Linked DNA regions of Cricetulus griseus. The protein of the gene in region 2 binds, or shares a complex with, the protein of the main gene of each other region. Links are inferred from orthologs where the notes say so. Each region holds a gene or a part of one and is shown on either strand. Other genes may lie near its edges. The genes, in order: C-type lectin domain family 1 member B and Pdpn.

Evidence for each region.
Region 1: the proteins of Pdpn (region 2) and C-type lectin domain family 1 member B are in contact, whole or in part, in a crystal structure (PDB 3WSR), measured with the Homo sapiens proteins. The link is inferred for Cricetulus griseus from reciprocal best matches to the Homo sapiens genes PDPN and CLEC1B. Residues at the interface, in NP_006465.4 of Homo sapiens: Ala46, Glu47, Asp48, Asp49, Val50; in NP_001380271.1 of Homo sapiens: Arg107, Phe116, Arg118, Arg152, Thr153, His154, Leu155, Arg157.

Annotation. Positions count from the first base shown.
Region 1 is NC_048601.1:16,668,142-16,671,678, forward strand, and holds part of C-type lectin domain family 1 member B, read right to left. Parts: intron 3,440-3,537; coding exon 3,314-3,439; intron 3,170-3,313; coding exon 3,018-3,169; intron 1,360-3,017; coding exon 1,253-1,359; intron 1-1,252. UniProt on the Homo sapiens protein: C-type lectin-like receptor that functions as a platelet receptor for the lymphatic endothelial marker, PDPN.
Region 2 is NC_048595.1:9,940,141-9,943,962, reverse strand, and holds part of Pdpn (podoplanin), read right to left. Parts: intron 3,443-3,822; coding exon 3,306-3,442; intron 991-3,305; coding exon 849-990; intron 1-848. UniProt on the Homo sapiens protein: Mediates effects on cell migration and adhesion through its different partners.

The DNA.
Region 1 (3,537 bases), on a different chromosome or scaffold from region 2:
GTTTGGGGTGGGGGGCTGGTGGGGAGTGGGAAAGGAGGGGGGGAGAATGAGCAGAGATTGACATGTGAAGCAGGCTTGTTTCTAATTTGAACTAATAAAAAATAATTTCTTGGGGAAAAAAAGAGTTGGTCATGGAATCTAGGAGGAAAAGGGGAACTTGACTCCTTGAGAATTTAGAAAGAACACCACTTTCCTGCAATATTGTGAGCAAGGCAGTAAGCAATGAGAGTTAAGGGCCATGGTTTGCAGGTTTGTATGTATTTGTGTGTCTGAGATTCTGTCCAAGGTAAATAATAAATACATGTTGCCTTAGTTATTTATTTAAATAATGATAGAATTGTATAAGCTTTTGTTATAAATTCTGGACAGAGAGAGTGCAATGTTGTGCCAAATAAACAAAAGATGTTGAAACTAGTGGCTAGAGAGCTGTATTGAGAGCCAGCAAGATGGCTCAGCAAAGAAAGGTGTTTGCTTGCAAGTTTGCTGACCTATATTTGATTTCCAGGACCTACATGGTGGATGGATAAAACTAACTAACTAACTCCCCCAAGTTGTCCTCTGACCTACACTCTCATACAATGTGGCATGCGGATCTCTCTCTCTCTCTCTCTCTCTCTCTCTCTCTCTCTCTCTCTCTCTCTCTCTCTCTCTCCCTACCTATCTCTCATACACACATGCACACATACTAAATTTTAAATTTTAAAAAATTAAGGTGAGACAGAGCCATATTGAATAACACAACTCGGTGAAATGAGGTCATTTGCCTACAATGCCATTAGAAGTGTGGAGACTTATTGTAAAGCATTGGAATTGCCTTGTGATCTACAATCTACCTGGTTTGTAGAGACCCACAGGACGAACAGATAGTGAAAATAAACTTGATGGTAATTACTCCAACCATAAAATAATGAAAAAGAGAAATTTATTCTCAAAGCACAAAAGAATTAGGCCAATTTACACACCACACACACACACACACACACACACACACACACACACACACACACGAGAGAGAGAGAGAGAGAGAGAGAGAGAGAGAGAGAGAGAGAGAGGGAGGGAGGGGGTGAGAGAGAGAGAGAGGGAGAGAGGGAGGGAGGGGGAGAGAGAGAGAGATTAGTCACATGTGACTGACAGCTACAACCCATAGTGGGGTAGAGAGACATCTCGACTTTCAGGCAACTTGTGTTCTACAAGAAATATGTGACTTGAAGCTTTGAGTAACGCCTTCTAAGCTGAGCTACCAGAGACTTACATATTCTTGGGAAGAACTGAGCTATCTTCCCACATCCAGTCCTTATTAGAGTTCTGACGTGATAATCCAATCCAACGGACAGAAGTAATCCTGCTTGTGAGGTATTCCTGTTGCAAACAAATCCATAAAATGGTAAGTGCCTCCACAAGCACTGTGCAATGACAGTGACACAAGCCTCAAGCAAGCATCTGAAATTACACACCTATGTTGCTATTGATGAGTTATATTTCATGTCTAGGATTTTGCTAGTTTGTTTTGAGACACTAAAAAGTGTATAGAGCACAAGATAAATTGCATTATATAGGTAATATTCTAGTTTTCCTATGTTTTTATAATGTATTTTTGTATTTTCTACCAATTAAAAATTTTAGTTCCAGGGAGACCCCTAAATATGATTCAATTGGGATGAATGCAACTACAGATGACAAGAAACAAAATGAATTAAGTTCTTGGATTTTATTGATTATCTTATATACAGAAATATTAATTTGTTTTAGTTGCATGAATAGAGAACTTCTACCTTTCCAAATATACATTTTTCTATGCTTTCTTTCTCCTTTTAGATAAATTCTTACTGTGTAGCCCAAGCTGGCCCCAAACGTAATTCTAGCCTGAGCTATCACTATGTAAACATACACTGCCACATCTGGCTCTGATTTACTTTTTCCTGCCTGGTTATAATTTATTTTTGTTATTTTGTTTGGTTTTTCAAGACAGGGTTTCTCTGTGTATCCCTGTATGTCCTGGAGCTCACTCTGCAGACCTGGGTAGGCTCAAACTCATAGATCTGCCTGCCTTTACATCTCCTATGCTAGAATTAAAGGCTGCCCAGCTAATTTTCTTAAATTCATCGCTTTTGGTTTTATTGAGTACATAGATGCAGGTCCCAGAGTGGTTCCAGTGCATACAGATTGACTATTAGATGAATGGACAATCAATCTCTCGGAGAGAAAAGCAAAAGGAAGCCAAATATTCATTATGCCTTCATGCATCCCAGAATAGCAGACAAGAATTCACCCTTGAAAGCAACAAAACAAAACAAAATTGTTTTGAGCTTGTGGGCAGAAGTGTAACACACAGAATAACACTGCGCAGGAGACACTTGGGCCACCCACCGCCTTTCTGTTAATCCATCAATCGCTTTTCTCTAAAACATGACCATATAGATAGATACATATCCACACTGCCCAAGATGCCTCCCTGTTGGACTTGATGGAAAAATCCAATTGGTTTTTAACCTTTTTTTCTTAAAATGGTGATACTTCTTTTGTTATCTTACAGATTTTCAAGTGGTGTCAGTCTGGAATGATGGGAGTCGTAGCATGTTTCATGTCTCTGTGCAATCTCTTTATAATGGAGTTGACATGCTAGGACACGCCCCTGTTTTGACTGGGTAAATATATTCGTTAATTTTAACCTTCTCTATGAATTTAGACAGAAACGCACACAAACTGGAATAAATGTGATGGGAGTGTCACCCGCTGCTGACTCATCCTGTCCCACCCACTGTCCACTTTTGCTGTCATGGAGGCACACGCAATCCAGTCTCACTGAAACACTGTTGTGATATTCTGGAATATTACTGGATTGAATATGTAAGCTCTGTATTTGTTATCAAGCTTCCTAAATTTCTCAGAGGAGCACCAAGTGCAAGCCATTAAGAAACACATTTTTAAAAAGAAAGGAAAAAAAAAACCAGATTCCATGTTTCATTTGAGAGCTTTTTCCTTAAGTTCCCGTATGTTTGACATGGGACCCTCCTTACCACAGTCCCCTGGCTGGCAGCCTTCACAAGCGTTGCATTCTGCTCAGCACAATACTGCTTGCTCTCTTCCCACGTTCGGTTATGTCTGAAGAACCCATAGCAACTGTCTCCATGGTATCTCCACCTTGAGGCACAGGGGCTGCACTTGTGCTCTGAAGGGGAGACCAAATTTGGGGCTGTCAAAATCCGGCTGCAGCTTTCCCCAGGTGCAGTGTGCCTGCTCTGGTGGGCCTCCCTCCTGTTACCACAACAGACACACAGGGCTTGGAGGGATGACATTTCCAAGCCAGACTTACCAGCCGTGTTCTTTGTCTTGAGCTCTGATTGCTTAATCAACTCTTGGCAGAATTTCTTGGCCAGTTGTTGCAAAGTGGCTGAGAGACTTTCCTTCTCAGCTAGTGGGTACCTTTGCTGTGTAACTGCTAAATGTAGAAAAGAGACAAATTACCCCTGGGTCTCAAGATCAAAAGGATGATGGCAGGGTTCTTCAGTGAACTTTCATTTCTATAAACCTGCCAGC
Region 2 (3,822 bases):
TGGCTGAACTCGCCTCACGTATATTATAGCATCTGTAAGCATTTATTTCTCTTTTGGGGCTAAGTAATATCCCACTGTGTGTACATATTATATTTTTTCTCCATTCATTTGTTTGGGAATACTGAGTTGCTTCCATGTGTTAAATGTTGTGGATAGTGATCTGTACACAGGCATACCAATCTGCAAGGTTTTGTTTTGCACTTGAAGCAGCATCTCCTGCAGTCCCATGCTATTATTTTGTTTTGACAAATAAAGTCTTACTGGGTAGCCCAGGCTAGTGTCCAATTTGCAATCCTTGTGCCTCAGAAAATGAGCGTTATGGACATGTGCTACCACACCTGGATGTAAAATCATTTTGTAAATCCTTGCAAGTACTGTAGAGTTCTTAAAGCCAGACTGGCACCTGCACCTGGAAGTATGCATTAACACAAGAGTCTTTTTGGTTCTTCAAGGCAGGGTTTCTCTGTGGCTTTGGAGCCTATCCTGGAACTAGTTCTTGTAGACCAGTCTGGTCTCGAACTCATAGAGATCCACCTGCCTCTGCCTCTGCCTCTGCCTCTGCCTCTGCCTCCAGAGTGCTGGGATTAAAGGCGTGCACCACCAATGCCCGGCTAACACAAGAATCTTAACTCGGGGTCAGCAACGCAACACCCAGAGCCAGCGGCTGGCCCTTGCAGGGAGTTGCCACTAGTTACAATTCAAGGTTGAGAGATAGTCCCAGAAAGCCAGTAAACTAAAGTTGATATTGGATTCTGTACCCAGCACACAAAGCTTGGCATGGAATTTATACTTTCAGTCTCTGACTCTTCTGCTTCTGGGTTTCATGGGTTCCGTAAGAGTGGACCCACCTTTGTTGGGGTGACTTGTTTCCTTATCTGCAGAGTGGCTAGTCACCATTCTGACAGTGGTTGTACTCTTATGTTCTTCTCCATCAGGGTCTGAGGTTCCTGGAGTTGGCAGTTCCTCAAAGGGAATCTTTGTGTGTGGTACCTGTTAGGAGTGAGCAAGGCAAAAGAGAAAATAAAGGCTCGTATTTAAGACATACAGTGTTGCCGGGCATTGGTGGCGCACGCCTTTAATCCCAGCACTCAGGAGGCAGGGGCAGCTGGATCTCTGTGAGTTCCAGGCCAGCCTGGTCTACAGCGTGAGTTCCAGGTCAACCTCCAAAGCAATACAGAGAAACCCTGTTTCGAAAAACCAAAAAACCATACAGTGTCTGACTTCCTAAAGGAAATATTTTAAGGTAGCATGTATTCAAAACACACAAGAATAAATCCCAGATGCAAACAAACAAGAGTGCAGGTGGAGCTGGGCAGTGGTGCTGCAGGCCTTTGGGAGGCAGGGGCAGGTGGATCTCTAGGAGTTCAAGGCCAGCGTGGTCTACAGAGTGAGTTCCAGGACCACCAGAGCTGTTAAACAGAGAAACCCTGTTCTCGACAAGAAAGAGTAGAGATAGGGGTAAAACCAGGTTCAGTCCAGAAATGAACTTTTAAATGTTGGGCATGCAGACTTCCTGTCCCTTAGCTCTTGAAAACAAAACAAAACAAACAAACAAAAAAACAAAACAAAACAAAAAAACAAACTGGCTCACCTAATATTTTCTCTCCCTAGAATTGGAATAGCACTTTCCTCTTGTAGCACCGATTTGGCAGAACTACGTGGAGGGGGACAGCTCACTGTCGCCGACAGCTTCCTTTGTACCAGGCCCTTTAAATACGTTCTCAATATTCTCAGTAGACCACAGGCAACTTTCTAAAGTAAATTCAATGAACAAAGCTGAAGAGGTTTCATAATGTGAGCTGACTTCCTGCAGGAAAGATCCCTCACAGCCATTCCATGACGGCAGAGGCTAGGAAGTGGTTCTGGTTTTAAGAGTAAACGTATGTAGGGGAGGGGGTGAAGTGTTGTGGAAATTTCCTTCACACTGTGTAAAGATATGTCACTGTGATTGGTTTAACAAGGAGCTGAATGGCCAATAGCTAGGCAGGAAGAGGTTAGGCAGGACTTCCAGGCAGAGAGAGAGAAAAGGAGAGGGCACGAGAGAGACATGGGGAGACTGAGAGGAAACAGGAGGAGCAAGACGGAAGGGAGGTTACAAAGCCACAAGACATTGGGCTGCAGAGATGGCTCAGAGGTTAAGAGAACTGACTGCTCTTCCAGAGGTCCTGAGTTCAATTCCCAGAAACCACATGGTGGCTCCCAACCATCTATAATGAGGTCCTGTGCCCTCTTCAGGCGTGCAGGGATACATGCAGACAGAATGTTGTATACATAATAAATAAATCTTTAAAAAAAAAAAGAAAAGCCATGAGACAAAATGTAGATTCATAAAAATGGGCTCATTTAAGTTGTAAGAGTTATTGGGATAATCCTAAGCTCTAGGCCAAGTTTTCATAATTAATAAGTCTCCATGTCTTTTTTTTTTTTTTTTTTTTTGAGCTGGTGGCCCAAAGGAAAAAAAAAAATCATTCTACACAGTGGATGTGTGTGAATGTGTGTTTGTTGTTTCAAGAGACAGGACTCTCACTGTCTTGGGGCATGCTTATTGGGCTAGGCTAGCTGGCCAGCAGACCCCAGGGATTCTCCTTTCTCAGTATCTCCAGAGCGAGGGTTACAAGCAGGTACCATCCCCTCTAACTTTTACATGGGTTTTAGGGATCAAACGCAGGTCCTCATGATGGCAAGGCATGCATGCTACTGACTGAGCCATTTCCCCAGCCCAGTGTTGGCTTTTTAACTTTTTTATTGCTCATCACTGAGGATAGAGCAAATGATCTGGGTGAAGAGATACACAGTTAGGTATATAGTAACTGGCTTGGGGCTTTCATGCTCCCTCTAGGTGACCCCCTCCCACCTCCCCAGGAACCTACCAAACCTCCCGGAATCTAGTCCTTTTTAGCTTGTTTGTTTGTTTAATTGACAGAGCTTCACTATGTAGCTCTGGCTGTCCTGGAACTCGCCATGTAGACCAGGCTGGCCCATATTTACAGAGCTCTGCCTGCTTCTGCCTCCTGGGTACTGGGATTAAACACATGTGCCAAAACACCTGGCCTCATGAGGCTCAGGTTTGCAAACACTAAACTGATTTCTTACTACTTTGAGAAGATGTGTTCTACTGCTCTCAGATTGTCTGTGCCCACCACACCAGCTCCCTTGTCCCTGGATGAGACTTGGATGTACCTTCTGTCCTGAGCCATGCCACTATTTTGTTGTACAGCCGCTGATTTCACATATAAGTATACATCATACTGTGGCATGTCACAGCCTGCCTTTGGCGCCAACTCCCCCTGTCCCTAGGCACTCACCAGAGGTCCCTTGCCAGTAGATTCATCCAGTCTTCCAGTAGCCCCTGTGGTTGCTATTCTGTCTTCTAGACCTGGGGTCACCAGGCCATCTCTTGTACCCGGGGTCACAATATCATCTTCTAGTGGGCCTATGGCCGCTGAAAAAGAAAGGCCAGTCAGGGATTCAGTTTGCAAAGGATATGGGTGGAGCCAATTGGCCACCTACAGCCACACCCAATTATGTTTCTTACAGTGTGTACAGTGTGGTCCTTTCTGACCAGTCACAGTACCAGGGCCCACACCAGTGTCCTTGTGGAGCCTCTGACACACCCCATGATCTGGTTGTCTCCACTGAGATGCAAAGGAAAACGGAGACACATGGTGAAGCTGCCAGCTGGGGCTGGACATGTACATGCCTACCCTTCCCTTTCCGGTAAAGAGCCAGTGTCTTCCCAACTAAAGCATTCAGTTGGGCATCCTGTGTAGACCAGAAAAGCTCCATAGGATCATTTGAAAAGTTTTTAAAACATACCTGGCT